4 linked regions of the Drosophila melanogaster genome follow. The protein of the gene in region 3 interacts with the protein of the main gene of each other region in a pairwise test. Each region holds a gene or a part of one and is shown on either strand. Other genes may lie near its edges. The genes, in order: CG6689, tap, CG4730 and CG17855.

Evidence for each region.
Region 1: the proteins of CG4730 (region 3) and CG6689 interact in a two-hybrid assay, tested with the Drosophila melanogaster proteins (one large-scale study listed by BioGRID).
Region 2: the proteins of CG4730 (region 3) and tap interact in a two-hybrid assay, tested with the Drosophila melanogaster proteins (one large-scale study listed by BioGRID).
Region 4: the proteins of CG4730 (region 3) and CG17855 interact in a two-hybrid assay, tested with the Drosophila melanogaster proteins (one large-scale study listed by BioGRID).

The regions. Positions count from the first base shown.
Region 1 is NT_033777.3:11,216,020-11,224,459, forward strand, and holds CG6689 (uncharacterized protein), read right to left. Parts: upstream 4,046-8,440; 5' UTR 3,997-4,045; coding exon 3,765-3,996; intron 3,707-3,764; coding exon 3,333-3,706; intron 3,273-3,332; coding exon 2,494-3,272; intron 2,423-2,493; coding exon 2,087-2,422; intron 2,018-2,086; coding exon 1,897-2,017; 3' UTR 1,879-1,896; downstream 1-1,878. Other genes in the region: RpS25 (ribosomal protein S25), read right to left, coding at 240-242; CG4820 (uncharacterized protein), read left to right, coding at 594-710, 774-1,546, 1,605-1,676, 1,733-1,859; CG6693 (uncharacterized protein), read right to left, coding at 4,486-5,385; RpL3 (ribosomal protein L3), read left to right, coding at 5,911-5,913, 6,156-6,348, 6,542-6,710, 7,376-7,511, 7,839-8,228.
Region 2 is NT_037436.4:17,355,628-17,363,990, forward strand, and holds tap (target of poxn), read left to right. Parts: upstream 1-4,054; 5' UTR 4,055-4,165; coding exon 4,166-5,362; 3' UTR 5,363-6,184; downstream 6,185-8,363. Other genes in the region: CG7692 (uncharacterized protein), read left to right, coding at 37-1,838. UniProt on the Drosophila melanogaster protein: May play a role in the specification of the sugar-sensitive adult gustatory neuron and affect the response to sugar and salt. Regulated by POXN.
Region 3 is NT_033777.3:25,674,739-25,682,728, forward strand, and holds CG4730 (uncharacterized protein), read right to left. Parts: upstream 3,945-7,990; 5' UTR 3,858-3,944; exon of another isoform or gene 3,847-3,857; intron 3,810-3,846; exon of another isoform or gene 3,800-3,809; coding exon 2,790-3,799; intron 2,729-2,789; coding exon 2,560-2,728; 3' UTR 2,334-2,559; downstream 1-2,333. Other genes in the region: Lgr3 (Leucine-rich repeat-containing G protein-coupled receptor 3), read left to right, coding at 749-820, 940-1,383, 1,432-1,706, 1,766-2,292; CG5039 (uncharacterized protein), read left to right, coding at 4,039-4,161, 4,235-4,420, 4,476-4,502; CG4743 (uncharacterized protein), read right to left, coding at 4,628-4,742, 4,855-5,270, 5,334-5,600, 5,653-5,748; Idh3g (isocitrate dehydrogenase (NAD(+)) 3 non-catalytic subunit gamma), read left to right, coding at 6,229-6,285, 6,383-6,460, 6,528-7,307, 7,367-7,553, 7,618-7,693.
Region 4 is NT_033779.5:9,536,743-9,544,834, reverse strand, and holds CG17855 (uncharacterized protein), read right to left. Parts: upstream 4,313-8,092; 5' UTR 4,192-4,312; coding exon 4,137-4,191; intron 4,083-4,136; coding exon 3,777-4,082; intron 3,718-3,776; coding exon 3,572-3,717; intron 3,518-3,571; coding exon 3,260-3,517; intron 3,202-3,259; coding exon 3,088-3,201; 3' UTR 2,355-3,087; downstream 1-2,354. Other genes in the region: CG13113 (uncharacterized protein), read right to left, coding at 43-660; Cpr30B (cuticular protein 30B), read right to left, coding at 1,357-1,806, 1,877-1,888; Oatp30B (organic anion transporting polypeptide 30B), read right to left, coding at 6,181-7,030, 7,093-7,222, 7,291-7,442, 7,509-7,923, 7,986-8,092.

The sequences.
Region 1 (8,440 bases), about 14 Mb from region 3:
TCCCAGACATAAATAAACCCCATTGACCACCATTGAGCAGCACCTGGAGTTGCTTGCTTTCGAGGTTAAGGCATGCTTTTGTTTTTTGCCCGCATTTTCACATTTTCCCACTTGAGCTGGGTGTTGTTTTCATGGCCCAGCCCTGGGGCGGCACTTCACTCATATTTTGCCTCCATTTGCGGGCCACTTTCACAGTGAAAAACTATTATTTTCGCAGAATTTAGTAGCAGCGAACTCACCATCGTGAAAAGTCAATGCAGAAAGATGGAGGGCGGAAACGGCCAGAGTTACCATCCATCGCACGGGTTGCTCGCCTGCCTATCGATAGTTGGTGGTGGAGTGTATAAAAATACCAAACACTATTCATAACGGATTTCGTAGATATTGAATATGAATAATCTGCATTTCTTGGGAAAATTAGACTTCTCACATTTGTGAACATGGAATTAAACAATTGTTTTGACTATCGAAACATTTTTGGATAAAGGTGCCCGTTGCGCATTCAAAGTGTATTTTGTCATTCTGAGCAACGGTCACACTCCTACGCATGTCAAACAAATAAATTTAAATAATTGGCAAATCAATTGCATAAAATGAAGGAGTTCTGCCGCACCTGCGGCAAGACCGTCGTGGCCGATGAATGCCTTCAGATCTTCACGCCTGCGGGCCGAAAGTTGCTGCAGTGCGTCCGTTCCATCACAAATTGCTGGGTAAGTGAACAATTCCACTCAGTAGTTTCCGTATCCAACCAGCGATTGTTTCCCATCTTACAGCTGCAGAATGTCCAGGATTTGCCCAATCACATATGTACGGACTGCCAGGTGCTGCTCAGCCAGGTGCAAAAGTTCCGGCGGCGTTGTGCCAAGATCGAGAAGTACTTCGCCAGGCGGCGGAGGAGAATGAATCTCGGCGAGGCTCCAGCGGCCATGGAGCAACTTCGCGTCCAGCAGGCAGCTGCTCCGGATCCGCTGGGCATTGACGAGCTGATGTCGGCCAGTGACATCAAAATAGAACCCATCCAGTTGCAAATGGAAGAGGACCCACAAGCGCCGTATCCCGAAAATCAGCTTGAACAAGCTCTTAGCTATGGCAATGCACCGGGTGAGGACATCCTACCCCTTCCCGAGGACTATGGAGAGGCACAGACTGAAGTGGCGACCACTACCAACGAGCCAGCACAGCGAAGAAGCAAGAACACGGCCAAAATAAAGTCCAAGAAGCACACAATGCGCGTGGGCCGAAAGCTGATCCATGTAAAAGTCATCGATGATAAGCAGCCAAAGCGTATTGTGGACCGCAATGGACCCAGCGCCAAGCCCTGCATCTGCGAGCACTGCGGCCGGCAATTCAAAGACACCAGCAATCTCCATGTCCATCTGCTGCGGCACACGGGCACCAAGCCGTTCGAGTGCGACCAGTGCCACCAGAAGTGCTACACGCTCCACCTGCTGCGGCGCCACCAGCTGAAGCACACGGAGGGTCCCTACGCCTGCACCTTCTGCGGCCTGGAGTACAGCACGAACAGCTCGCGCGTGAGACATGAAAGGTGCGTCCTACGCAGCAGTTAAAGCTACGAATTATAAATGATTATAATCATTTTACAGGGAGGCCTGCAAGAAGGGACGAGCGCCGCAATCCAAGTGGGAGATCATCAAGAAGGGCGAGCGCACTTTCCAGTGAGTTGCTCTTAGTAATTTCGCATTATTCTATCTAATTTCCCCGTACTTCTCAGCTGCGAGGTGTGCGATCTCTGGTTCCTGCGCGCCGGCAACTTTACTCAGCACATCAACTCTTCCAGTCACATCGAAAACGAACGAAGAAAGAAAAGAAAATCAAATCCAACCGCCATTAATTCATAAATCCAACTAAGTGAAAATTGAAAAAGAAGCACGCATTTCATTCGGTTGCAACAATTTGTACTACGCCCAATTTGCGAGCATTATCCTGATGCATTTTACTGTTCGCATGGCTTTTCATGTTGTACTTGTAGCGAAAGTTAACATTGCAAACCTCGCACCTGTAATGATTAACAAGCACAATTATATTAATTAGGAAACTAATGATCTAAAAGCTCGAGAACACCCACCAATATGGACGTTCGCCGGTGTGAATGAGCTCGTGCTCCCGCAGCCGCGTCCGCTGATAGAATCCCTTCAAGCAGACGTCGCACTGGAGCGGCCTCTTCTCGTGCGTCATCTCGTGGCGCTTGAGCTTGTTGGGATCCGAGTAGCTCTTGCTGCACCGCTGGCACTTGTAGGCGTTCGCATCGGTGTGCGATTTGATATGCCAGCCCAGGGCGTACTTGGAGGCGTAGTGCTTTTGGCACAGCTTGCACTGATATCGCACACTTTCTCGAGGCTTGGGCATGGGCTTGGGATTGATGCGCTTCACAATGAGACGAGGCGCCGCATTGTGGACCTCGCTGAAATGGATGGCCATAAGTACAAAAGAAAGTTGATGCATGCATGTTAGTTGTGTACATTTACCACTCACCTCTCGTGCTTTTGGCGAGCTCCGGGATAGGCGAATGTTTCGCTGCAGAAGCCGCAGGCGAAGGGAGTTTCTCCCCGATGACGGATGCGTATGTGCATGTTGCGCATGTAGGCGTCGTAGAATGTCTTTGGACATTCGGTGCACTGGTAGTTCTTGGTGCGAGTGTGCCGCAGCATGTGGATGCGCAAATTGTGTGACATGCGGAACGCCTGGCCGCACTGATCGCACACAAAGTTCGGCGGCTTGGCGCGTAGCTGGGCGCGCCGTATAAGATTCCTCTCTTCTTTGGTCTTTGGGTTGGCACTGCGCTTCGGTTTCTGTTCACCAGCTGCCTTTTCCTTAGCTTTGGGCTTACTCGCGATTGGTGCTCCCTTCCTGAGTCTTGCTTTTTCCTTCCCTGTATATTGATCTAATAGCTCCTTAAAGATCTTGGCCCCCAGAGCCACACTGAGTGGATCCTGGGCGGCGGGCGATTCAGCGACTTCGTCGACTGCCTCTTGACTTGTTTGGTCATCTGATGTCGCTTCATCTTCAACATGATCTCCACCTGCATCTTCAATCTCTTCCACATTAGTGTTCTCCGTATCAGATATCAAATCGTGATCCGATGATATTGGATTCTCATTCTCAGCCTCGATCTGCACTTCATCAGTTGAGGGCTTGGCTTGGCTGAGCTTGAGCTCGGTGCTGATGCACATCTCCCGGAAATCGATGGCCTGATCCAGGGCCGATTTACACGCAGGGCACATGAGGCGCGGCTCGTCTGGTTTGTGACTGATCTAAAAGATTTTTGACGCAATACATGTTATTTTGCTCTATAAAATGTACGAATAACCAACCCAGACACCACTTATGACTTCGATGTGAAAGAGCAGGACACTGTTGGCCGGGTCAAAGAGATCCTTGGCCCTGAAGTCAGCGGTGAAGTCATTGTAGCATGTGCGGCACTTTTGCAGCTCTTCCAACTTTTCCTCGCCCGAAAGTGGATCCAATTCCATGGTTACAGTTTCCGATAAATACACACTATCCTGCTCAAATGAAGTAGCCTCCGGGTGGATTAGCTTGGCCTCCTCCTCCGCCAATAGCTCAGCCACTAGCTCCTGGTTTCTGCGGCGCTGTGACCTCTCCTTACGGGCTCTATCCGATCCACTTTCCTGGCTTTTGTTCACGCAGGGAACTGCACCTGGTCGCAAAGTGCGCTTTTTTGCCAATCCTGAGCGAAAGACAAGGACTCAGTTGGACATTTTTAGCGGCTCACACATGGAACTCACCCATTTCGAATTTCAGGGATCCCTCGATGTCCTCATCCTTGAAATGTTCGATGCAAATGCAGGGATTCTTCAATTTCAAGGACTCCTCCGTGTAGCCGCAGAATGCTAGCCAAGCCTTAAACGTATCCGGGCACTTGGGGAAGCGGAAGAAGCCCAAGCGTTGCTGCTGAGCCGCATTCCTTTTGGAGCGGCAGTCAGAGAAATTTCGGCAATTGGGCACGGCACATCGCATATTTTTAGAATAAAGTGCGCAATGTTTATATTAAATAATCCGGCAGTGTGACCAAATGTTGCGCTGCCACGATGCCAACAATTCGAGGTGGTTACATCGATGACGTCACAAAATGCAACAGTTATTTGAAATTGCAAAATTCAGAAAACTACGTTTATTTGATGTTCTTACAAAAACTCTGCTTTATTTAACCCACAAACACACACACACACACTGTATTTCATTAGTAATTGAAAAAAATGTAATTTTTTTATATCAGAATAGCAGCATTTCGCAGTGATAACGTTGTATTCTTTTATTTGATTTGATTTTCTTGCGAACCAAGGAAAACTTTTGGGTAATAATGGTAGCGCATTTCTATGTCCACTTAGTATTAATCTAGCGAAAAATACAAGTATACGTACATGGATAAATACATATGAGTAACTAAGCCTAAACTACACGATAAATATATATTAAGGAGCGCACGATGAGCAGTGGAGGACGGCACTAGTTTTTGCCCTTCTCCACACGGCCCGCCTTGACTCCATTGAGCTTCGGTTTGGTCTCCTGCTTGGCGGCGGGCTTCTTGGACTTCTTTTTCTTCTTCTCGAAGGCGCTGAAGTCAACAGTGTCGGAGTCGTCCTCGTTGCCGTACTTCTCCATCAGGCGGTCCATTAGGGAGCCAAAGTTTGACTCGCGCTGATTGCGACGTGCCAGGATCATTTGCTGCAAATCGCCACCGTTGTCGGCTAAATCCTGGTCGTCCTTCTCCTTCTGGCGGCGCTTCAAACGCTCCTTGATCACCTTGGCCTCCTTGAATTCGCGCGCGTACTTCTGGTGGCGCTTCTTGCGCTTGGCTGCCGGCTCCTCGGTAAAGATCTTGTACTCGGGCACCTCGCCGCTGGCAATCATATCCTGAACGATCTTCTGAATGCGCGGCTCGTCCTCCACCTTCATGAAGGGCACATGGTTCATCAGATAGTTGATGCAACCCTTGCCGCCCAGATACGCCTTTTTCAGATCGGTGCGCTCCAGCTCCGATTCCACATACTCCTTTTCATAGTTGTTGATATCCTCCTCGGTGATGGGCTTGAAGATTTTGCTCCACAACTCCAGCCACGACGACAGCTTGGACTCGCTCTCATCGTCGTCGTCGATCACGCCCTGCTCGTCGTACAGCGCCCGCTTCTGCGTGTCGGTAAGCACCTGGTAGAGCTTCGATAGCACCTTGAACTTCTCGGTGGACTCCGCCTTCTGCTCCTCCGGCACTCGATCGGGATGAACGAGCAGCGAGAGCTTGTGGTATGCCTTCTTCACCTCCTTCTCGCCGGCGCCCCGGGCCAGCTCCATTAGCTTGTACACATCGCGCGTCCCAAAATACTTTTCGCACAGCTCCAGCGTCGACATTGCTAATTTCGTATTTTGTATTTTTATTTTTCGCACCAACACTACCAAACGCAAAATGCGCCAAAACGCCGCGCCAGTGTGGCGGTGCGTGGGGCAGACAAAAATTCCTTTGTTTAATGGTGCGAAAAAATCTTTGATTTTCCTGTTTACAGCAATTTGGTTATTATTTAACAAGTAAAATGGTATTCTATGAATTTTGTTTTAACTATTGATAATTTTTGAGAGCCTGCGTGATAAGTAACAAAAATAAATTGGAGAATTGAACATTTCAGTGCTGCACAACATTGCATGGTTGGTGTCCCAACTAAAAAGTAACCCGTGTTAAGAACGTATGAGGGTGGCATCCCTCAAAATCCATGGCGAGCAGTGTTACCGTACTGCGAAAAGTGACCTTAAACCCATCTCAAAAAATATACCAAACGTGTATTTCTCAGCAAAGTTACCACTGGGCACACTACACACTATATAACGAGACGGAAGTCGGAATCGTTTCTTTTCCGTTTTACACGTCTGAAGAGAACAGACATGGTGAGCATCTCGATCGGATAAAATAAATTATATTACTATGTGATGTGTCAAAAAGATGGATGATTGCAAGTTAAATAATTGATTAGTTTGGAAACAGTAGCGTTATAATCACTCTAAATGTAACTAATACAAACAAAGCGTAATTTTAATGCATAATTTGCACTTGCAACATCCACGTGTTCACCTAACCTCAAAGTGCAGAAACGCATTGTGCTAATGGATTTTCTCCATTCATTTTGCAGTCTCATCGTAAGTTCTCGGCACCCCGCCATGGCTCCATGGCCTTCTACCCCAAGAAGCGCTCAGCTCGCCATCGCGGTAAGGTTAAGGCCTTCCCCAAGGATGACGCCAGCAAGCCAGTCCATCTGACCTGCTTCATCGGCTACAAGGCCGGCATGACCCACATTGTGCGCGAGGCCGATCGTCCTGGCTCCAGTAAGTACCAGCATCCACCTCTATCAACTAACAACTACTTTCCATGATGAGTATACTAGAAGATTTATGGTTAGAACACATATGATTAACCGTGATTATCTCAACTAGGGCGGACTGACCAAGCCCACTCTGTAGATGATTTCTCTTAGGGAATACCATTACTCGGTATTAATGGCTTTTCTTTCTCTTGCAGAGATCAACAAGAAGGAGGTGGTCGAGGCCGTCACCGTTCTGGAGACCCCGCCCATGATTGTGGTCGGTGCTGTCGGCTACATCGAGACTCCCTTCGGTCTGCGTGCCCTGGTCAACGTTTGGGCCCAGCATCTCTCCGAGGAGTGCCGTCGTCGCTTCTACAAGAACTGGTATGTATCCGAGGACCACGTGGTCGTTCTTCCTACTCCATTTGTCGCCATTTTCTTTGCACCGGGTGTACACACACACAAAATGGCAGCCGACACGTGCTTTCTACTCGAGTCTGGATGATGAAACGATGGTATCTGAATGAGCAAATTATTGTTGAGAAGCCTTTTACCATCTGCTGCCTTCCTTCTGATCGGCCTCTTAGAAAATAAGCGATTGATTTTGCTGCAATACAATATCTATTGTTTTTTGAAGTATAAATCAACCAGTGCGCTGTTTTGTGTGTGTGCGAACTTCCGATCAACAGTGATTCCCTCGTGTAATATAGACCCCTATTAAATGTAAAACAAAATCATAAAGTTCTTCGATCAGCTTGCTGAGAGAGCTTTTCAAATCGCTAAACGTTGTGTGAGCTGTCAGGTTAATCTTGATCATGGGGCGCACAAGCAAGCCCCTGGTTAATTGAAATTGCCTGACGAGTGAGCATGACAAGGAAGACTGCATCTCCGCTCGCCATTCGTTTGCGATGAGGCGCACTTCCTGTTCTATCTCGCCCCACATAAACAGCGCGGCTAAGAAGTTGGAGTTGTTGCGACACCCCAATGGATTGCTACATTACGCTCGTTTCTGACCACTGCGTCTCCAACTTGACCATCGTCCATATCAGGTACAAGAGCAAGAAGAAGGCATTCACCAAGGCCAGCAAGAAGTGGACCGATGATCTCGGCAAGAAGAGCATCGAGAATGACTTCCGCAAGATGCTGCGCTACTGCAAGGTGATCCGTGTGATTGCCCACTCGCAGGTAAATATCAATTTCAATTATGTATTCCATATTTCCCGACGTCCTTGGCCTTGTTGCGCCACTGGTGCTGGGTCCTCGGGCTCGGTGCCTTTGGTGCGCCTGGCCTAAAAAGCATTCGCGCTGTGGTTTTCAATGCACGGTTTAGGGATGCAACGTCGCAGAGCAATCTGCCCCTCGGGTGGCGGGACTTGATATATTCCAGTAACGGTGCGGAGCCGTTCAGGCGATGATAGCGCGGTTAAACCATATCACGTACAGTCCCAATTTCCAATACCACAAGGTGGATGAAACTAACCTGTTGTGTACTTTTTCTCTATTTGCCTGTAGATCCGCTTGATCAAGCAGCGCCAAAAGAAGGCCCATGTCATGGAGATCCAGCTGAACGGCGGCTCCATCGAGGACAAGGTCAAGTGGGCTCGCGAGCATTTGGAGAAGCCCATCCAGGTCAGCAACGTCTTCGGCCAGGACGAGATGATCGACTGCGTTGGTGTGACCAAGGGTAAGGGTTTCAAGGGTGTCACCTCGCGTTGGCACACCAAGAAGCTGCCCCGCAAGACGCACAAGGGTCTGCGCAAGGTGGCCTGTATTGGTGCCTGGCATCCGTCGCGTGTGTCCACCACCGTGGCCCGTGCCGGTCAGAAGGGTTACCACCACCGTACCGAGATCAACAAGAAGATCTACCGCATCGGCGCTGGCATCCACACCAAGGACGGCAAGGTAAGCACCAGTACCCATTATTCCCACCATTCCACTTTAATCGGGCTGTAGAAGAAATCTGTTTTTGTGATGATAAAACCTTAAAAATAATATCGACATCGAAACAAAAAAAACTTGATGAACCATGATATTTATAATGATAGGACTGATAACAGATCTTCAGCTACATAAGATTAAATCCTGAATCCCCCTGCCGCAAGACCACAGTAATC
Region 2 (8,363 bases), on a different chromosome or scaffold from region 3:
CAGTCATACTAATAATTTCAATTTAAAATCCCACAGTAGTATTTTCGGAAGACGAGGAGGAGGCTGCCTCAAGCGATTCGGAGCCCTACTACACAGGAAATGGCCGCCGGACTCGGGTTAGGGCGGCAGCCATGGTAGCCAATGCCATGTTGTCTGACATGGATCGAAGTGTGCGCGGTGGGCGACGATCGAGCTCTCCAGAGACATCACATCACCAATTTCATACGCAGCCCGTCGTCGAGGAGCAGCCAAAAATCGCAGTCCAGCCTCCAAAACAACTGTGTCTACAAGAAACATCTGCGCGTGTCGAAAAGCGTACGATTAGCGAACTGATGGAGTCACGACCCAAATTTACCAACGAAACCGTCGGTTTTAAGCCGATCGCCGACATATGGAGTTTCAAGAAGGAAGAGCTGCAGAATGTGGTAGAAGACAGCAGCAGCATGATAGAGTGCAGCTCGATATTAAACAAATTCAAAATCTTGAAGGCCCTCAAAATGGCCAAAGCTGCAAAAGCCGCCGTGCAGCCATGTTCCCAGCTTGTTCAAAATATCGTTCGCACGGGATCGGAAACTGAAAGCGTAAACTCAGAAACTTCCACGATGGCTACCCACGACTTCAACGAGGAGGAGGTCAGCGAAGGTTCTACCGGTGTAAGTAAAGAGCTAACACCTTCGCCGACCACAAAGTCTGATTTAACCATGGACCCAGAAGTGTTGCAGCCCACTGGTGAGACCAAGACGCATTTGATCCATGGGAGCCTAGAAACTACAAAAGTGCCACAGAAGACTCCGGAGTTTCTGTTTTTGACCAAGGAGCCCGTGAGAACTGGACAACAGACCCAGGAGCCACTGGGAGATGCCTTAAAAACTAGTGACCTAAAACAGGTCATCCCAAATGGACTGTTCAAAGTAGAGGGACTGGAAGCGAGACAGGCGGCCGAAAAGCCAAAACAAACTGGACAACCGCAACGGGATCTACCGAATACAAGAAAACAAAAAGATAAGCTTATCCACATGCAGCGCTTAGGGAATGCTCAGCTGCCTAATGAAATGTCAACGCCATCAGAAACCGGGACAGAAACCGACACCGCGGAGGAGACCCTTCTGTGGGATGGCAGTGATGAGAACCCTAAGAACAAGTGCTTACAATTTGACTCAGTGAACAACGAATCCAATTCCAGATCTGCAAACGATATTAAGGAAATGGAGACAAATCGTCAAATCAACGAATGCCTGACGCGTTCTTCCCAGGTGTGCTTAACCAGATTGACACCACGAGACATAGAAAAACTCAGGGGAGTAAGAGTTCGTGTTAAGCGAACTAATATGGCAAATTTCTATAACGACCAGACACGTCGCAGCCAAAGAAGGCTCACAGCGAGTCTTAACGGTCAGAGCCGCTCCCACACCGAGGACAGCAATGGATCTTCAAACAGCTACAACTACCGCCAATATGATAGGCGCCGCTTCAAGAAGTTTGTGCACATCACATCGGACTCGCCAGCACCTTCGGAATCGTCCACGCCATCGCCGCGCATGATAGCCAAGCCGGTCTTCAAGCACATTACATCCGATTCCTCGACAGATCTCGAGGAAGTGACTCGGTCTGTTTCTGCGATTAGAAGACGTGGACGTGACCGTGGACGCAGTGGGCCCAAGTGTATAACAGAACCAAATGTGCGACGATCGCCTTCCTTTCAGCCGGATGTGATCGAGTTGTCCTCGGACTCTCTTTCGTCCAACTCACCAATTCCAGCCGCAAACCCCCCCATGAATAACTTTACACATGCAATGGATATGGATCCGCTTTACGAGGAGGCCATCATTCCATTCTAACACGCTGTTGACAAGTCGAGCCTGCTACCGAGCCAGAGGCGATGTTCTACGTGCCCGAAACGAATGCTGGCGAAGGGATGTTCGTTGGTTGCGCAGCAGAGGAAGGGAGCAAGGAAGATGAAGTGTATAGCTGGGAAAATCGAATTCGTCTCGGTTGTTAGAATGCAATTAGCCTGGGGCACACTTGGTATTTGCTTTGGCTACCAAAACGCCAGGATTTTGATGAAATTATTTACGTGTACATCTGTTTGACCAAGTTTCCGGCTCCGGCATTGTATTTCGGTTTTTATTTGGACTGTAACGCCGCCCGAGGGCCTTTAAAAAAGGACTCTCATCGAGTCCAGGACAACACTCAATGGAAAAAGCAAACGCATCCGCACTTCAATTAACTGCCTAATTGATGTGCATTGTGGCTCTAAAAAACCAAATTAGCTACACGCGGCGGAGAAGCTTTGTAACATGGATGACGACGACGGCGACACGTGGCTGCTGGTGTGAATTTAAGTGGCATATATGGGATAGATTTTCTTCTCATGTAAGAAACATTGTTAGTAGTACTTAGCTCTTATAAAGATATTGATACAAACTACCATTAATATTCTGTTTAAAACTTCAATATAAATATATTTATATATATTTATATATATAAATATATTTATATATATATAAATATATTTTATAAGTTACGAAAACACTCATTGTACTGATCATACAAGAAAACTGATTAAAAAATAAATAAATAAGTATACCATTAAGTATTTGTTTATTTATATAAAACTATCTTGGTTTTGAAATCTATAAGGAAATTAATCAAACATCAGCTCTACTTAGTACATTTTTCATAACATACTTAGCTACCTTATAAAGCACTATTAAAGAAAAAATTGATGGTGTCACAATTACTGAAGCAAGGTTTATATTTTTTCAACAAAAGCACTCAATTCATTTCCATTAGGAGGAACTGCCTGAAATGTGGCATATTACTAAATTAGCCCCCTCGACACTCAAGTTCTCACTCGTGCTGGTAATTTGCGGCAATTGCCGCATATCATAACAAATCCGCACGTGGCACCCGTCGCCCACTTGAAATTGCAACTCCGATCCTCCTTTAACAGGATTGCCACAGATAGGAATCCCACATCGGCACACTTTGCCACTTGAGCAGCCGTTAAGACCGCGGCACGTGGCAACGCCTGGGTTTTCTACCAGGAGGATGGAGTCCTGTGGGAGTGAGAGCTTTCCGTTGAATACACATGTTGCTTTTGGTAAGTGGAGGCGGCATCCTGGCCACGTGCCACTAACCCGTTTAGCGACAGGCGTAAGCCCTAAACGATTATTGCGGTTTAGTTGCGAAAGGCGAAAGAGTTGATGGTAATTGAATCTTTTGAATTGCAATCGCATTATTTCGATGTGGCGATAAAACAAAATAACAATTTATTTAGTCCACGAAGCACACATACTCTATATATGTAGGAAAGGGTAAGAAATCTTTTAGTACGGAAATGGATTAAATCTCGTCCGAAAATTATACCTACACCGAAAATATAACAAAGTCGTAATGATCCGAAGATATCATATTAAACAAAAGTATTCCCTATTTCAAATAATTTTTGGATTTATCCTTAAACTAAGTGATTTTTACAAAATATATAATAATATAATATTTCTTCTTTTAATTTAACTATAATATAAAGCATATCTTAAATTGACCAACAATACTACTCATTCATTAATATAAATATAATTAAGTTTAAGCTGTGCAGTAAGCACATTGTATTTAAATAACCCTAGAGGAAGGGTATGACTATAGAGACGAGCTTTGATGATGCCGTTGGCGACACCGCTGATCCTCGGACGCAGACATCCTTCCGATTGGCCTAGAGAGCACCGCTCGCAGCGAAGCGTGAAAAATGCTCGTATTTTGACTGGTAGCGGCGGCCCGCAGAACGAATCTCCATCTCCAGGAAGTTCACCCCGCTGCAGGCAGTTCTAGCTAGACGACGTTGGTGTGTGAGTTGGCAAAAGCCACCCCCGGGCGGCAATCACGGCGCATATCTGTTGGGATTTGTGTCGGGGTTCTGTGCTCTCTACTTTGCGCTATGGCGCCGCCACGACCGACGACAATGCGCCGAGGGTTGATGCCTGTTAGTCCGGACCCAAATCAGCGGGCTTAATGGCTGGCCGGGCACATAAAACCGGTGCGCACTCCTCGCCAGCTTTTAGTTGGTGCGGGCACGCGAGACGCGAAGAAACAACTCTCTCAAAGCGGAAATCGTAAATCGGAAATGTGCTAAAGGATATACACACCGTGATACAGATACGAGATCATGGCCGCCTGCTACAATGCCTATAGCGCTGGATCACAGTCCTTCGAGTTCGACGAGGACGACGACGACGCCTCCTTCGACAGTGGCTACGAGAAGAGTTTCGAGACGGAGGCCCAGTTGAGCTCACGACGCCGCTTGGACTTTGGCACTCCGCCGACTCCGGCGATCCCGCAACCGTACTCCGGCGGCACCTGGGACGCCGTACCGCTCAGCTCACCGCCGGCGGGCTTCGTGGGATTGCTCGATACGAGCAGCAATCACAGCACTCGGAGCGGCAGGACACTGGTCGAACATCTGAACAGTCGGGCCACGAATGGCGTCTTCGATCCGCCATTGACCAGTACGCCGGTGAAGTCGCCAGAGGATCCCAATGCGCCGCGACCGAAACGCAAATATGCCGTCGGCAAGAACAGAGTAACTCGCTCGCGCAGTCCAACCCAAGTGGTGAAGATCAAGCGTTTCCGCCGCATGAAGGCCAATGACCGGGAGCGGAATCGGATGCATAACTTGAATGATGCCCTGGAGAAACTACGCGTCACTCTGCCCTCGCTTCCCGAGGAGACGAAGCTGACGAAGATCGAGATTCTGCGATTTGCGCACAACTACATCTTTGCCCTGGAGCAGGTGCTGGAAAGCGGAGGTTCAATCAACCTGGATCTGGAGAAGCTGCAGAACTTCACGCTGAGTGGTGAGAGGATTACCAAGGAGCTCTTCGATGCTCTTTTCGTGAATCCACAGCCGTATCCCTTGTTCGGACGAATGTTCCCCTATGGACAGGGAATGGCGCCTCTTGCACAGCACCAGACTGCTCCAGCATCGCACGCGGAGCAGCCGCCGGCGATGGGTGGCTTTCAGCACGGCATGGACTATCCGCAGCAGCCACCAGGATTCGACTTTACAGGCAGCATGCGGTTTTACCACCAACAGCAACAGCAGCCGCATCAGCCTCACCATCTGCAGCCTAATCCCCAGCAGGAGTCCAGCCCGCAGCAGTTCTCGCAGGAGAAATACGATCTGTTCAGGGGATCCTTCGATGCAGCTGCCAATCTTCATTCTACGAACTTGGATTCTGGGATTCACCAGCAGAGCAGCTTCTACTCGCAAACACCGCCATGGAAGGACTATCCGGAGGATCAGGCACACGTGCATCCCGTTCCACATCAACACAGCTACAAAAACTTCGCCCCGCAGGTGTAGCACAGTTTTGTGGGCCAAACTACGATCTTAGGGTTTTCAGCGTGATATACTAAAAGATTGCCGGAAATTGCAGGAAACTGATCAAGGGGAATTCCTCTAAGCGATTTGCCCTTGACTTACTTTAAAAACATAACTAAAGTAACTTATGGGTCCTATCTCGGGATTTCCCTTCCTTACTTTTCTCAACTTTCCTGCAATCCGTTGATATTGGTAATAAGCGAGGCACCTAATTGACTGCTAAGATTATCATCAAGTTTGAAAATGAAATATCTTTAAAAATTGTATATTTCACACTTGCGCTAATCTTTGAACTCAATTAGTTTCATGTTATAGAGGGATCCTCAATAGATTAACCAATTTAAAGTCAAACATCCAAAGTTAAGCTTCACGAACTCATTATTAATTCATATGAATTCCCATTATATTTGTATTCATTGGCTTCCTTCTTGCGGATCTCTGGTGAATATTTGAATTAAAAGTGCTTAGGGTAATCAATTTTCCAAAAAGCACTCTTCTTCTCAACATATTCGCATTCTTCTTGACTATATAGTACAAATCGGTTGTCCATTTAGTGTAAGCGATACGTACCTTGCCATTCTAGATTTAAGACCTATCTATAAGGATTCTTAAAATGAACCAGGTATTAGCCATAATTAACTGTACAATCGATTAAGTGTATGTAGGTTATGCCAGATTCTATATCAGTTATTGCAATGCAAGGAAAGCGAGCTAGTCAGGGCCAGAACTTTAAGGTGATAAGATTGAATTTCGATGTAAAACCATAAAGATTTATTTTTGCAAATAAAGTTGACGATCAAAACGAGCCAGAAAATGGTTTTGCGAGTGGGAAGAATGGACGAACTCCTGGACAAAGTCAAAAATAGTAGCCAAAGCAAACAACCCTGGAATCAGTGTACCGCTGTGTGCGGATTTCAGGTCCCAAACAAAGGACTTAAATTCAAATAAATATTGTATATTGCAGGGCACATAAAACGAATGGCTTTGTGTGTGTGCACTGCAGCTTGTTCTTATCGTAGGGGGCACTTTTCGCCCTTACAATTCGACATGGGGTGAGTTCAAGTAGAAACCGAACTCGAACTCCCGGCTCGGCCTTCATAGCTCGAACAATGGAAGATTGCCGTCACCTGCCACACAATTACAAAACGAATGTACCAACAGCAGCAGTCAGGACCAAACAGGGAATCCTGAAACATGAGCTGTGAGCCAGTGGACCTGCATGAATGCCACTCAAATTATTTAGTTGAATGAACCGAACCGGCAAGAGTCGAGGGAAATGCTTTACTGCTTTACTGCCTAACTGGGTAACAACTGACTGACTGACGTTTTCCGTTACGAGAAAAGGGTAAAAAGGTGGTAAAGATGCTGGAAAGCCGGTGAGGAATTCGCAATCTCAACTGAAGATTACAATAAGACAGTCTTATCCGTTAATAGAGCTGTCATACTGCAAAGCCTTACATTCAAAGGTTTTAAAGTTTTAAAAAAAGGCGTAGGTTTGCCTAATGCAACGTAAATTGAATATTGGGAAAGCAGGATATCTTTATCAGCAACTTGTATGATTTAATTTCAAATATCAACTACTAACCACCACTTTTAACAAAAAGATTTAAAATTACATATTATTCGTATGCATACTCCATTAGAATTTATATTCATCATTCAAATATCTTAGAAATAATTTTAGGTCTAGCCATCCTGAGCATTCAACTATGTTTAAGTTAACTAGATATATTTGCTGTCGGTAAAAGATTCGCTCATGGTTAGTTATTGGGGTTATAAGCGGGAATTCGTCAGTTTTTCCACAACTAAGCCGGCGTTTGTCATTTGAGCAGCTTTGTTGGAGGTGTCGGGATTTATCTTTGCAATAATCATTATTATAGACCGGCATGGGTCCTGGGTTCTTTGGTCCTGTTGTGCTGCAAAGGCGCAAATACGCAGCGGGTGAGCCAGCTAAGCTGCATTCAATTTCTGGGACCCACTCGCCTCTCCTCGAGGGTTGAGGATGAGGATGAAACCTGGCCCGGATGGGACTCGCATCATTAGCGGACGGGGTGGCTGCGTTTCGATGGCTATCGGCGGATCAATGACGACATCTATGCCCTGACTCCCTTGCCCGAATGCTAATGCACTGCGAGGCTGGAAAAACAATTTGGCGATGGCCATAAGGCGATAAGGCAACCAAAATGGAAACAAATTGCCATGGACATGCTAAAAGGCGCAAACACAATGGATTGGCATCTTCGGCTGCGGCAAGTGCAGGTCCTTGGAGAGCGATTCATATGCGGTCCGATGAGATTGCACAAAGGACTTCGGCTGGGTCGACTAATGGCGGAGGGTTCGACTTGCAGATACCTAACCAAATCAAATTTCTGTGTAAATATACAGGGATTAGTCCACACGGAGAAAACACAAGGGGCCATTTCATACTCTTCCCTATCAAACCGAACACGGAAATAAGGCTGCTTTCTTTGAAGTTTATTTTATCAATTTATAGTATAGATTTATTATTATTTTCCATCAACTTGTATTTTAGATTAACTCAAGCATGAAGAAAAGTAGGTTTAACTGAGGACTCTTCTTTTTTTGTAAAAGATGGATAAATTATCAAGCCATTTGTTTAAAAATTTATTTTATTTGAGTACATGAATTAAGGTAATGTGAAATTTTTATGTGCATTGTCGTTCCTTTTGGTGTTCTAAAACCTTATTTTTGGTTACTCTCAAAGACTTGATGAGAGTCAGAGTTCAACCCTTGGAATGGAAAGCATGAAATATTAAGATCATATATCACACCGTTCCTGACGACACAGCTCCAATTTGTACTTGCCCTTTTGCGATTCCCATTTCGCAAATCGAATTTTATTTGCCGAATTGATTGTTTTACGCCTTTTTAGCAAGACGTTGGCACACATTTTTTTAACCCTTTGCCGGTGCACGTGGTTATTGCAGCCCCGGATCCATTGTTTATTACCCCTTTTTGGTCC
Region 3 (7,990 bases):
GCTCCTTGGTGGGAGTGGGTGGTCGTGGGTGGTGGGCATGGCCATTGTCTTTGGGCGACAAACCATAAAAACAAACTGTTAACAGTTGGCGCTCGGGCATTGATTGACCAGACAAGTGCAAGCAATGGAGCTCAGCGTCAGTATCCACTGTCTCACACACATCCACAAAAGCATCTTCATCAGATTCAGTTCCTCAGATCTCGCATCAGCTGCTGCGATTCCCATGGACGTGACACGGTGGAGCGGTGGAGAAAACATCATCATAATAATAATAAAGCCGAATAACTTTCTCCACACGTAGTGTGTGTCAATAAATCGGTTGTTTCTCGCAGAGTTTGAAAGGAAACTTTTAGAGTTCTTAAACAAAGAATGTGGTTTTGGAACCACTGTGCCGCATCCTGTCTGCCATGAATGATGCGTCCTTTCCTGCCAGCACATAAAGCCCCGGCCAGTTGCATCTATTCCACACACTGATAGACAATGTTTGTGCACTGATTTATACTCAGCCAGCTATTAAATAAGAATTTTCGTTATTACGCTGCCGGGGATTTTATTATGTGACTTTCAAAAGCCCCCGCCAACTTGTTGTGGCTTTGGCTTAAAGCCGCGCCAAGCTGAAAATTGTTATTTTAACCTTTTAAAGTCAGCTTTATCAGCACCAAATGCAGGGCCATTATGCGTGGCCCACGCGGCGTATGAGCAACGTTAAATCTGCGAATAATTCAAAGACGTGCGTTTCTTTTTACAGCCGCCTTGTCGGTAATCCCATTAAGGAGTTATCTGGCGAAACATTTTTGCACAACACTCGACTGGAGGCACTGTGAGTATACTTTGTTTGTTTTAATTTAAAAAATCACAAAATATATCATGAAGTTGTTAAAACGGGATTGAATTTGATTTGAATATATGATTTCATTTAATTTCTCACCAATATTTAAGTTCGTTGGCCCTAATGCCGATTCACATCAGCAGCAGTTTAATGGAGCCACTGAATATATCGTTTTTGAATCTCACGGGAATTCGGTATGATCACATCGACTTCGAGGCCATCAATTCAATGCGCAACCTGACGTACATCATCTACGATCGATTCTTCTACTGCTCAATGACGCCGCGGGTGAGAATGTGCAAGCCGTCCACCGATGGAGTCAGCTCCTTTCAAGATCTTCTGAGCAAACCAGTGTTACGTTACTCCGCCTGGGTGATGGCCACGTTGACAATAGCTGGAAATGTGCTAGTCCTATGGGGACGCTTTATCTACCGCGATGAGAATGTGGCTGTGACAATGGTGATTCGGAATCTGGCTCTGGCTGATATGCTGATGGGCTTCTATTTGGTCACCATTGGAGTGCAGGACTATCGCTACCGCAACGAGTATTACAAGTAAGTCAAATGTGATGGATTGGCATTTGTTACGCCCCAATCTTTTAGGGTTGTGCTGGACTGGATAACCTCGTGGCAGTGCACACTGATTGGAACGCTGGCCGTGAGCTCCTCGGAGGTTTCGATGCTTATCCTGGCTTTTATGTCGCTGGAGCGGTTTCTCTTGATCGCCGATCCCTTTCGCGGCCATCGCAGCATTGGAAATCGGGTGATGTGGCTGGCTTTGATTTGCATTTGGATTACGGGCGTGGGCTTGGCTGTGGCACCGGTGCTCCTGTGGCGGACCAGTACCCTACCCTACTACGGATCCTATTCCGGAACCTGTGAGCACAATGTTTATGATAAAATGTAGTTTACCAAGTGACGAAATTAAACTTAACAGGCTTTCCATTGCACATCCACGAGGCCTTCCCGATGGGCTGGCTTTACTCGGCTTTCGTGTTCCTGGGCGTCAATCTGCTGCTGCTGGTGATGATTGCGATGCTCTACACGGCACTCCTTATTTCGATATGGCGAACGAGGAGCGCCACTCCGCTCACTCTGTTGGATTGCGAATTCGCTGTGCGATTCTTTTTCATCGTGCTGACCGACTTCCTGTGCTGGGTGCCCATCATCGTTATGAAGATCTGGGTTTTTTTCAACTACAATATCTCCGATGACATCTACGCCTGGTTGGTGGTCTTTGTGCTGCCACTTAACTCGGCGGTTAATCCTCTCTTGTACACCTTCACCACGCCCAAGTACCGAAATCAAATCTTCCTTCGCGGCTGGAAGAAGATAACTTCTAGAAAGCGAGCGGAGGCTGGCAATGGAAATGTGGCCACCACAACGACGGGCACGGCAACTGGATCCTCTCAGCATCCGGATGACTTCACGATCTTTGCCAAAGCCGCGATGAGATGCCATTAGGTCCTAACGCTGTCGAACTGAAGGATTCTTGTGGCGCAGATCGAACTTGTATACCACCAGATTTAGCAGCATTTATTTTGTCTATGATATCGAAAATCTATATATGTATGTGAATATCTATCCCTGTCCGTGTAAGATAACCAAATGAAAGTGTGAAATAAATTGAATGTGATATTTGTAAGGCAATTTTACGGAATTTAAAATGGGATGCGAGTTAGTGTAAGATTAAGCTATTATCTAAGTTTTGGTAATAGTTTTAAATACTTTTTATTTAGAAATAGCAGCGCTATCATTTTTGGCATGGTGTGATTCTTTCTGGTCCGAGTAAATCTTTGCCATTACCAACTTGGAGCGCACGATGTGAAACTTTCGCATTTCCTCCAGGTCCTCCATCTGCACCACCATGTTATGCTTACGCTCCAGGTGCATGCGTAGTCTAAAAAATTATTAAGGAGTGTTACTTTCAAATAATGTACACTTTAAACAAAATAACTAACTTGTTACGAGCTGGATAGCTCTGATGGCAGTGGGCGCACTCAAATGGCATGGCCGTATGCGTGCACTCGTGATTCCTGAGAGATGAAGATGAGGTAAAGGACTTCTGGCAGCCGGGAAACTCGCAAATGAAGCGAGATCCAGAGTGCTTAACCTGCTGGTGGACAGTCAAATGGGATCGCTGTGCGAAACGACGATCACAGAGATCACAGGAATAGGGAAAGTCTCTGTTATGATAGCGTTTATGAATCTCCAGGGCTTTGGCAATGGCAAAAACCTTGCCGCATGTGTCGCAGTGGACTCCAGACTGCCTGTGCTTCGAATCGACGTGAACTTTCAGCGCCTGCTTTGTGAGGTAAACCCGGTCGCACTGGCTGCAACGAAAGTTGGGACGATTGGCCAAATGAATCATCTGGTGCTTGGCCATGCGGGAATGGTTCCTGAACTCCTTGTGGCAGAACTTGCAGTTGGATTTTCCCGTATGCCGATTGCGTGGCACAATGTCCTCTAAGCTGTCGATAGGGGTTTCCTGCTTCTCCTCAATCTCTTCCATCAGGAACTCTTCATTCATATCCGCCTCATTCTCCTCATCCTCCACGTCGTCTTCCTGTTCCGTGTTGGCTTCGGTTGCCACAAATATCTCCCTCAACTGCTGATTGGCAATGGCCATTTTCTTGTGGAAGTCGTAGGCCCATTTCAGTTCCACCGCACAACGTTTGCACAAGGTTCGTGGCTCGTTTTTGGGATTTTGCCGCAGGTCTTCCTTGGTGCAGATCTCGTAGCAGTCGTAGTAACTCAGCGCCGCCTCCTGGTCATAGATGACGGTCATGTCCAGCATTTGGTTGGGATACGGCTCCTCCAAACACAAGCGGCAGCAATTGCTCAGCTCCAAAGAAGTAGTACTGTCTGAAAGTGAGACTTCATGGGATACAAGCTTCACGGGAGCTTCTGCAGTTCGCCTTGCTATTGTAAAATTAAGCGTTTGGCATACTTTTGATGTTTGGGGATCCATCTGTGCAAAGCTTATTTTGATCAAATTGAAAAGATTACTCAGATTACCTAATAAATACTTCTTTGTTTACAGTTGAAAATCCCCGCTCTTAGCCATAAATGTGAAGAAAAACTAAACATAGCTGTGCTAGGGTTGCCACCTATTTCACGAGAGGTCTGGCAGCACTTGGGAGCGCTGAAATTTTTGAGAACTTTTTGCTTCGTAGTTGTTGTGATTTCTTTGTACATCCCCTGAAAACGATGAAGTTACTTGAGCCTCAGACGACCATTAGTCCTGAACCGGACATACTGCATCCGGACGACGGTCAATACATATGGCTGCCAATTTCCGTGCTCGTTGGCATTTTCGTTCTGGCTGCACTGGTGCGTTATCGCCACAGTCTGTTTGTTTAAGTGGATGTACATTTGTTTAATTTATGCATTTGGGTGTACACAGGTCTACGCCATGTCACGTAGTCGCTGTCGGAATTCCTGGGATTGCCTAAAGAGCAGGAAGGCTCCGCGAAGTGGATACATCAATGTGGATGAGGAGGATTCCGATGTGCCCATGGACTGCGGAGATGAACTGGGAGATCAAAGGACTACTGCTACTCTCCTCACTGGTCGCCTCCACATTCAGGATGTCAGTGAGCTCGTGACAATGTCCCAATACAATCACAGCCCTTTTTCTTCCACAGGGAGCGAATAACGCCTCCAATGCCTAGTGAATCTCAAAAGTCTTCCATACACTTTATTGTCCACGTTGTCTTCAAACGGTGGTTGTCATCGGTTTAGTTACTACTGCAAACTACGTGCCTCTACTACAAGTACAACGAAAATAACCCTAATTTTAATGATCCGTACTGGTGGCGCCAAGGATTCGCGTCGTCAGGTCGTAGAAGCCAAAGAAGAATGCACCGCCCAGTGTGATCCACAGCACACGCGGCACAAAGCCAGCAAACAGACTGAAAAGTAACATCGAAGTACATTAATAAATGTAATAAATAGTTTTGTAAAGTTAATTTGTGTTTAAATATTAGGACCAGCTTGAGTTGCGTCTAATATGGAAATAATTACCCGCTGAAGCCTCGCTCCAGGTAAATGCCATGCAAAATTCTTCGGGCACTGCGACGTCGGTTGAGACTCTCCCTTTCAGCCAGCATAATTCGGGTTTTGACCACATCGAGCGGCGTAGTTAATCCCGCTGAAATGCCTCCAGCGACAGCTCCACAAAGAGCCACCGAAAAAGGAGTGGAATCGAAGCCGGTCAGGGGAGTCCATTGCAGCTTAAAGTACTCCCAGAGCGGAAACTGTATCAGACTAAATGGAATCTCCCGCATGATAGTGGAACCAAATCCCCTGTACAGACCACGTTTCAATCCCTCAGTGCGATAGGCACGCAGTAGAATTTGCAGGCCGGACTGTTTGTTGCCCTGCAATGTTTGGGAGCGTTGCTTGGCAATCTCCACGGGAACTCGGATCAAGCATGCCAACTATTGGATACAGAGATTCTTCAGATCTAAATACGAGGTGCTCAGTTTTATATGAAATCCTACCACTTCTGCTGCTGAAGCCGCTGCCATGTGAACATAGGGTGAATCTTTGGTTTGGGTGACCGAACTAAGGAACTGCTTTCCGCACTCGTAGGTGCAGAAAAACAGGGCCGCCGTGGGAGCACTTCCTGCAGCCGCAGGAGCGAGTCCTTTGTAGATGCCCCTGAATCCTCCTGCCCGCCAAAAGCCCAGCTCGCTTTGCAGTCGGGTCTTCACTGTATCTATGGGAAACAGCGCTATGTCCACTACCATTCCAGCCACTCCTCCTGCCTAAAACTAATTATTTAAGAACTAACTTTTCATTTAATTTTCATCTACTTACAACAAGTGCATGGAAAAATTTTAATTTATTGACCGGCTCTTGCATTTTGATTGCCACGGACCCCGCGGCCGATTCCAGACCCAATTCCGCTGCCATGTCCTAGAAATGATGTTGGGGCATCCACTTTAAGTCATCCCGTCGGAGTATTAACTAAAGTTGTTTTAGTAAACAAAAACATAAAATGTGGTTGTTAACGTAACAGTCAGCTGCTTTTTGCTGATCTGGCAGGTCTGCAGATAACAGCTGCTTGGTGTAGAGTTGCCAAGATGCTGAAACCATAACAAATAAATATATTCTATGTAAGATATATATTATTTGGTCAAAAGTGTTACTTAAAAAAAGGATGGTATTGAAATGTTAGCTTTTTCACAAAAACACATAATTATAATACATTTTTTTTACACCAAAGTAATTATTTTAAAACCAATACCATTTACTTGACAACCCTGAAAAGCCGTGGTTCTGGGCAAGAGCCAGCAGCACCGTTTTGGCCAAGTGGAATAAAATTGGCTGTGATTTAACTGATAGTAGAATACCAACTGCAGCGGTAGAAAACAATAATCCAAGGATCAAATCATGGCCCTTCGCTTGACCCAGAGATTGCTGCAGACGCAGACGCCGTTCCTCACTCGCGTAAGTTTTCTCGGCCGGAAAATTGGCCCACAAAGGCAAATTACATAATGCGCGCCTGCCAGATCCTATTGATCGTACTTATCGATTCGAATTGTAGGGCTATCCCTTGCTGGTGACCAAGGAGAAGACCGAGGATGTGGCCCACACCAAATCGGCGCTGCAGAAGAAAGTCACGGTGAGTGCAACCTCTGGAGCTCACCCCCAATTGAGGTTATAGCATCCGTATATATCTTCGTGAACAGGGCACCGATATTCCCTCGGCACAGTACGGAGGTCGTCATGCCGTCACCATGCTGCCGGGCGGCGGCATTGGTCCTGAACTGATGGGCTATGTGCGCGAGATCTTCCGGTATTGCGGTGCACCCATCGATTTCGAGGTGATCGACATCGATCCCTCCACCGAGGGCAACGATGATCTGGACTATGCCATCACATCGATTAAGAGGAACGGAGTGGCACTCAAGGGCAACATCGAGACCAAGTCCCAATCCTTGACCGAAGTCTCCCGCAACGTGGCCATCCGTAACGAGCTGGATCTGTACGTCAATGTGGTGCACTGCAAGTCGTATCCGGGCATTCCGGCCCGCCATCACGACATTGACGTGGTGCTCATCCGCCAAAACACCGATGGCGAGTACGCCATGTTGGAACATGAGTCTGTGCCCGGAATTGTGGAGAGCATGAAAGTGGTGACCGTCGAGAATGCCGAGCGTGTGGCCCGCTACGCCTTTGAGTTCGCCCGCCAAAACAATCGCAAGAAGGTTACCACCATTCACAAGGCCAACATCATGAAGCTGTCCGATGGTCTCTTCCTGGAGGTTGCCAACCGTGTGCACAAGGACTATCCCGAACTGGAGCACAACAACATGATTATCGACAACACCTGCATGCAGTCCGTGTCGAATCCTCACCAGTTCGACGTGATGAACATGACCAATCTGTACGGCACCATCGTGTCCAATGTTCTTTGCGGTTTGATGGGCGGAGCTGGCCTCATATCCGGCAGGAACTACGGTGACCATGTAAGTCTCTTTCTCTTTTGCTTAACCCATAGTCTTTCAGTTTTGTCATATAATTTTAGTACGCCATCTTTGAGCCTGGCACCCGTAACACCGGAACCGCCATTGCCGGCAAGAATATCGCCAACCCTGTGGCCATGATCAGTGCCAGTATCGATATGTTGAACCATCTGGGCCACAAGGAGCACGCCAATGTCATTCAGGAGGCCGTCTACCAGACCATTGTCAACGATGCCATTCGCACGCCAGGTGATCACGTCTCTCGTAGTTATTCAATAAACAGAATCACCTTTATCATCTAAATCTCTTACAGATATTGGCGGCACCAACTCCAGTACCGATGTGGTTGAGAATATACTCAAGATCTTGAGTGCCAAGCGCGTGAATTGGTAAAATAATCGTCTGCATTTAGAGTAGTTCTATATGTTCTTTTATTTCGCTGTCACAACCAAGTGTTGTATTTTCTATTAAGTTTTAAGCAAACAAACATCTATCGCTTGTCCCCTTTTACTTCACTGTCGCGATGGGCCCAGCGTAGGCGGGCCTTCTTGTATTATAATTTCATGCTGTTATTGTATTATTTTAATTACTTACTGATTACTTCAGCAGAACTGTAAGTGTTATTGCCGAATTGGCCTAACTGTGTCCTAACCAACCAGCACACCACAGACTTCACTTAATCACTA
Region 4 (8,092 bases), on a different chromosome or scaffold from region 3:
TCAAAGCCATTTGCACATTTGGATGAGGTGACTTATTTATGATTAATTTAGATTTGCTACACGACTTTGGAAGGGTAAGCCGGGGTAAACCTGAATATCAGGGAAGAAACTTTGATCATCCCGCACATCAGTTTCCATGGTTTCCTTGTGGTCACGTCTTTTTTCGATGGAGCTGCGCTTCCTTAGTTTCTCCCAGCGATTTTGTTTTAGTTGTGTCTTCGGTTTAACTGGCACTTGAATTTGAGATGGTTTTTTAGATTGACCCGGATCGGAAGTCTCGCGAACCGTTTCCGTGCGACTTGCCATTTCCACATCAATGGTGTCAGCTTTACTACGACCACTGGTAAGTCGCCTCAGCATCTCCTGATAATGCGGTTGATCCGCAGTTATGTATTCCGGTTCGTCTTCGGGATTGAGAATCTGGTAGTTGGGGGTGCCCAGTTCGAAGGTGGTGAATTCACCATGCTCCACTTTGTTCTTCAGATGCTGCGGCGTATACCCATACTGCTTAAGTGGAGCCATCCACTTGGCATCCGCATCCGCAACTGTATCCTTTGAGCTTCCCCCCAGGCAGAAGCCAAGGGTCAATAGCAATGTGACCAGTAGTTGTCGTGTCTCCGGGCAGCCGACCATTTTCGCACTGATGCTCCATGGATGCATTGGTCAGAGCGTTAGCCAAATCCAATAGAATCGCCATCGACGACGTCGACTGCGCCGGTAATTGGACGCCCCCAAAGTGGCAGCAGCTACGTGAGATTAGAGGCATCTATGGGCCATGTCGCGTCTGGCGGCGATAGCATTAGTTTATGCTTATCACAGTATCGAAGCCACCTGTATCGTGACGCATCATTTTATGAGACATCAATTCGCAAATATAATGATACGAATTCACTGAAGAAGCCAAACACACAAGCGAGTTGAACTAAGTCAAGCATTTCATTCACCACTTTTTTTTTTTGGTTTTAATAATCTTTCACTTTTTTGTGTCACACTTGTGAACTGTCATAATGTGGTTTTTCTTCACTTGGCTTATATTTTTCTTAACTGATCTTCACACTTATATAAGTATGTTTGCAACACAACCACTACTCAACTACTCATTTTTTTTTTTATATCAATAAAATACCCTCACCCAGCTTTTAAGTATATTCCCTATATTAAAAAATCCAAGTTTTTGTGTTCCTCTGCGAACAGATTGAATGGGATGCATCTTTATTGTAGGTTAATGTAAGCTGTCTGTATGTACACTCAATTGTCTTAATTGTAACTAAATTATGATGTATGGCAGTGAGTTTTCCCGGGTCAAGACGGGTTTCCTAATGGGTTTATGCAGCTGAAGTCAGTCATTAGATCCTTTTAGTACTTGTACTGTGCTGTTGGTCCGGATACAGAGACATAGTTCCCGGCGGACAGCTCCTGCTTGATAATGGCCTTGGGGGCGGCGTAGTGGACGAGTGGCGCCACCGGTAGCACGGGAGTCAGGATCTTGGCGGCCAGGAGCTTCTTGGGTGGCTCAGGCAACGGTATCTTGATGTCCGTGGGCTCACGCTGGACAATTGCCTCGAAACCGTTGTGATCATCCGCCTTGTACTGCACTATGCGGCGATAGCCATCGGAATCGATCAGCTCGTAGACACCCTCGACCTTGTCGTCCTTGCGGGACTCCTTTTGGCTCTTGATGTCGCCGGTGTGGGGATCGTTCACCGACCACTGGAACTCGTAGGCCACTGGTCCGTAGTCCGGCTCCGCCTGCAATTCAATGGCCCAAACGGCGCTGGCCAGGCACAGGCACAACAAATAGGTAACCTAAAAGGAAGACACCACTCTATGCATTAGAATCCTTTGTATCGCACCCTTTTTCCTCCACTCCACTCACTTTTCCCATCATTTTGTGGTATTTTGGTCCTTTCAGAACTCTTTGGGTATTGAAATGCACTCGACAAAGATCGAAATCGAAGTAATTAATCTGGGTAGTCCTAGGCTGCTTATATACAAGCTGGCCAACTGATTACCAGGCCAGAGCTACGCTTCGATCCAACTTGGATGTGGCAATCCACCCAAGGCGTCGTGTCGCTTTGCGGCACGCGCCTCCCAAACAAGATCGCCGACCAAGTGGAGCGCGCTCATTAAGTGAGCCCCGAAAAATTATAATTAAACAAGAAATATGCAAAATGTGGTTCGCACCAGCCTGAGCCATGCACTGCAAAAAATTAGGAACCAAGTTAGGCTTCATGTCGAACGAAATAGTAACCATTCCATTCTCCTAATTCTTCTTTTCTAATGAAAACGACGTAAAACTCACTTAATATTTTTAAGAAATTTCTAAATCCACCGAATCCAAAATAAAGAAATTTAAAAAATATTTTTATTAAAACTTAAATTTATAAAATCTTGTAGTTTTTTTACCCATGACGCATTTGATTTTTCTTTTGCGACGCACATTCGATAAGCATCCAAATGAATATGCCGCAAGTGGGAGAGCTTGATGGTGATCTTAGAGGTGTCGCGCTAGTTTGTCTGGTCCAACCAACAAATGTGGAGATTAATTTACTTTGTCAATAATTTGCAACATTAGGCATTGGGCAACAAGGCCTCCGACTGCATTAAGTCATAAAAATAATTGTCATGTTTTAATGGATAGCGCACCACGTCGAATTGGAAATGGGATGGGAGGGCAGAAGTCGGGGGCTGGAACCTTCACAGCTCGGAGGCCAGATCCTTTTGGCAGGTGATCTGTCCGCAACTCGTTTGATGGCATTAGCAAATAATTTAATTAATCGCCATTAGACGAGGGGTTTCTCTGCGCGCAGTCCAAGAAACCGGGTTACTATATCGCAAAAGTTTTGATTTAACGCAGCCGCCGAGCGTGTTTGTCGAACCTTAAAAGCAAATTCTGGTATGTGCACTGGTTAGGCGTAGTTGGTTCGGAATCTGGGTTAGTCCAGCCGTCTAGTTATTGCTCTCTGTGCGTAAACTTAGTGATCAGTTTCATCAGCTTTAGTATGGCTACTTGTTATTATGATCTATTGGTTGGTTGTTTAGTTTTTGGCTGGGAGCTATGTGATAAGATTAATCCCGCCACTTATCCTAATCAACAGGCTCGCTTTCTTTCTCCAACTTGGCGCGAATTGTTCTTTGACAGCGGGATCTCAACAATTCCCGTCTTAGGGCATTGCTCTCTGTTTCCACAGTTTGTATGAGCTGAATACAAGGAACAATCAGACATATATAATTAATGAGAATTAGGATTAAAGCTTACGCTATGGGTTAAAGCAGCTCTTTCCATAGTTTCTGCGTCGGCATCATCATCCTTGGGGTCAGATTCACTGCTAGAGGAGCAGCGCCGGGCCTGCATAGCTTTATGATGCTGTCCGGGATAGTCTTCCTCATATTTGGGCGGTGGGTCGTCATCGTTGGGTAGCGAGGCCGGCAGACTGGTCGCTCCTTCTTCTGATTTTGCCTTAAAAGCGGCTAATTCGTCCCGCAAGGATTGGTTTTGCATTTCCAGTAATTCCACCTTTAAACGAATCATTTTTACTTAAGCTTGCTAATACGTTCTAAAGCGTCTTACGCTCTCAAGTTCAAAATCCATTTCGTCAATAATGTCGTATGACTCATCAAGGGCTCTTTGAAGTTTTTCTACTTTGGCCTTCAGCTCGTTCAATTCGTTGACATCGCTTTGGGCCGACTGCCTTTTCTCCATAGCCATTCGTTGCTCTAGTAGATTTTTAGAGTATTGATCTAATTTTAAGCAAAAATTCCATTTCCTAACACACCTGCATTTCTTTGATCTAAAGAGGACTTCATTACCAAGCCTGTAAGCGTCTTCTGCCGTTTAAACATCTCCTCCAAAGCACGACAACGTTTCACTTTCTCCAGATAAGCGTCATGCAGTTTGTTGTACTTCTTCTTGTGCTTCTGCAGTGTTTCCACCAGACGATCTCGTTCCTCCTCCAATTGGAAGACCATGATCTTGGCCTCCACATTTATGGCCGCATTGGTGCTGTGGCTGGCAGATGCGCGATTTAGTCGATGGCGCAGCAAAATGTTTTCCTCCTCCAGCTCCGCACTTCTGGACTTTGCTGCAAAGGAGTTTCAATACATGGCGTATACGCAACGACATTGCTCATACGCACCGGCAGCCAGTTCTGCATAGAGAACCTGCATGGTAGATGTAGCACGTTTCTCCATTTGTTCGATTTGTATTACTTCAATTCGTAGTGGTAAAAATTACTCAGCTACTGAAAAATCTTTTGTTGCTGAAAACAGTAAAGATAAGCTATCAGCGAGTTGAATTGCGTGGATATCGCTGGCAGAGTTACTTTGTTAAGTTATTCGATTGCTTACGAACATATAGAATCGATCAAATTTTAAGTCTTAACAATTTAATTAACACTATTATTTTTTTTACCTATGTGGAACCCAAATTGATGGAAAAAGTTTTTTGTATTAATCATCAGAAATGCTAATCAAAAGATAGGCTCGTTAAAAATTAATTATTTCTTGCTCGTCTTGTTGCTTAAATAACAATGTTAATTTAAATATTATATGGTGAACCAAATTTATAAAAAAATTTTTAATAAAAATGTTATCTATATTTAAAGTACGTTAGGTTTGTGTCTTGGATATAAGATACTTGCAAACATCATGGTCACACCATTTATGTAGTTCCCTAATTCGAGTACCATCTTGTAGGGGCGCCACTGTGCCAAAATTTCAAATAACTAAAAAATTCGTTAAAAATAATGTCTTTTAAGAAAAAACAAATTGACTTGTTTAATGCAGTTTTGGTTTATTTTGTTTTTCATTTTAGGAGTCTCATTGTTTTCATTTCATACATGTCCTTATTAGTTTATTTGCAATATTTCTCTAAGTAAAAATATGTATTCCTTAAAACACACTTTTTGAGTAAACATATATATGATATATATATATATGATCTTTTGCACCTAAGACTCACTTTCTGTAGTCCGTTTTAAAATCGCTCTTCAATAATGTATAAGTTATGTTGTACAAACACATATCCCGATACGAATTATTAGCTACGCGTAGGTACTTATTAACGTACAATTGTATACATATATTTCTTATATGGATGTATCTATTTAGTGCTCGAGGAGCTCCTCTCTGCCTCCTTTCCTACTGTATGTGGCTGGTTGGTGTAAACATAGAAATAGTTGCTACTAATTAACCTAGATTGCATCACTTAGGACTACTGGGGGTCTTGCACTCGGGCAGTGCGTAGGAAAACAACCGGATGGATCGATTGAATTCCCATTTCAGTTGAGATACTGATATTATCCGCGTGTATATTTAATTGATATTTTTAAGGCATTATCGCATTTAAAGTACATCATTCGGTTTTAAAATCTAGGCTAGACACTTGATTTTCTCGCTACCATTAAAACAGGGAATTTAGGATTTTTCATAAAACTATTCCAGACCTATTCTTCATTCGAACCCATCGCTATTTTGTCCACAAAGATTCTCTAAATGATGTATTTGCATAAGAATTACATTCAGCGTATTTTCACTTTCTTTCTAATTCAACGTTTTCGTTAATTTTTGTTTTCTATACTCACAAATTGTTTCACAGCACAATTTCCATTGACAATGGTTAAATGTTCGGATTATTAAAACATTGTAATTCGCTATTCGTTTCTCTTTTCTTTCGCCAACTGATTCTCAGTCAATCGTTAAACTTCGAAACCGAGATTGCATAAAGTCGAAATAAAGCGAAACGTATGCAGCAGACTTCAAACACTTAATCGACTTTTTACGGATCTAATCTACACTCCACTAAAATACAATACAAAATATTCCTATCACAACGATCTACTCCTACCTTAAAATATGCTAGTTGCTTTCTAGGATTTCTATTCTATCGCCTGGTTACATAAATATTATCTGCAAGGATTCGTAATCGTATCTGACTCGGATTCGAATTCTGGTTGAATGTTGTATATATCAAAAGATTTCTATTTTCAGATGCCTTCTATTAGTAGATTTGAACACTCGGTCGTAAGTACAATGAGCAGCTGAGGGACGAGTCACTTCATCAGGAAACGGGCATGAACCACATACACTCAAAGTACGATGAGGCGATTGCCGCCGGGAATGGAGACATTGCTGATGTTGCCACAAATCGAAAATCCTAGCTTATAGCTACATGGCCTAGCACTAAGCACACGCGGAACGCTCCTCCTCTTCATCATCGTTATCGTTGATGAGCTCGTTACGATCGTCATCGATCTGGATCTTGTGGTGCGACGTGTTTCGCGTGTGCTGAGGATGAGCGTGCCCTGACACCGAACTGGAGGCAGCAGACTCCGGCAGCACTTGATAATTTAAATCCTTGGAATTGGTTCGCCGATGTCTCAGCACACTTAGGCCCGTGGTACTGGCATCCGTTACTACCTGACCCGAAGCAGGAGTTGCACTAGAAATTTTGGTGTTCAAGTCCTTCGAGTTGTTGCGGGAATGTCCACGTGATCCAGCTCCACCAGCTTCTATTTCATTTGAATTCTTTAGCTTGCCCACATCCGAAACCACATTCTTTAAAACATTCACATTCTTTTTGGGATTGTGATGTGAATGGGGGTGTCGTAGGAAGTCCGCATCGAAGCGTATGTTATTGGGCATGTAGATTTGGTCGTAGCTGTGGTTACGAGAGTGCTTTTTAACGAAGTGTCCGCATCCGGTGGTCAGCTCTTCGTCATCATCCTCTTCGGGGCAGTCCTGCGGCCGAAGTTGGTTCTGAATATATCGGATGGGTTGACTGGGGTCGTGTAGGTCTGTCGAGTGATTGCGCGTGTGCGCCTGGAACTTTTTGAGATTCTTGTATTTTGTGCTGGCACCAACAGCATCCTGACCAGCCGCATCCGCAGGTCCGCTAGATGAGCTGTGATCTCGAGCAAAGCTCTTGATCATCTTCACGTCACAAGAGGCACTACGGAAGTGTTTCTTAGACTTGGTCTGTGGCTGGTTGCAGGTGTTTGCCGGTGTTACCACACGACCGCATTTGTCGTAGCTGCAGGAAAGACATTTGGTTAAGACCATAGTCCTTGAGTATAAATGTGAGATAGGACTTACCAATAATCCATATGCATGGTGCGTGAATCATTGCGGGAATGACGAAGTATATCTGTGGGTATGATCAGCTCTCCTCCACCACCAACAAATGCAGTAGACGGCTCGGCACCCGACAGCTTTTCTTCAAATACTGAAAAGGATAGATATATATATAATTATATAGATATAGATAATTAGTAATTTCGATAATAAACATACATTTGTCTAGGCTAATGATGGATCCGATTATTGGATCGCTGGCGTTAAGCGGCTTCATTTTCTCAAGCTGCTTTCGCCTTCGCACCAGCCACCAATCCACCATAAAGATAACCAAGGCAATCAGCTTTACAGATGCACACAGCCCAACATATCTAAAAAAAATTGAAATAGATGTTAATAAAACTTATATATTCATATATTTTATGATATATTCATACTTGTATCGGAACTTTTCAATGTCGTAGATGAGACAGCGACCGCCCTTCTCGCCGCAGGACGACTTCCAGAGAATGCAAGTAGAATCGATTAGATTTCCGAACAATATGGGAGCCGGTATGTATCCAAATAGTCGAAATATTACAAACTGCATGCCAAGGGCAAAGGAACGTTCCTCTTCGGATACCGATCTCAACACGATCATAAGCAGCGGCATCTGCGTAGAGGCCACCAAAAAGGTCATGAAGAATAGCAGTATGAGGAACGGGTAGATAGTGCGGCAAGGCGTGGCACATGGACCGGCAGTAGCTACCGGAACCACCGTCACCTCGGCAAAGTTCTCGTTAGCACTGAGAGCCTGGGCTTGGCTGCCACCAGCGCCACGATAAATGCTGCTCGAGATGTTAGCGCGAACACCTATAACATACAAATTATATAAATATAACAGGTATACTTTATATAAGTCACATTAAACTTACAGGCGCAATTGGTGTAGTTGGTGTTGGATGTGGATGAAAAGGCCGTGCAGCCGGCGTGGCAAGGACTAAAATAGGTAAGTCCATTGTTACCGCACACCGGTTCCACC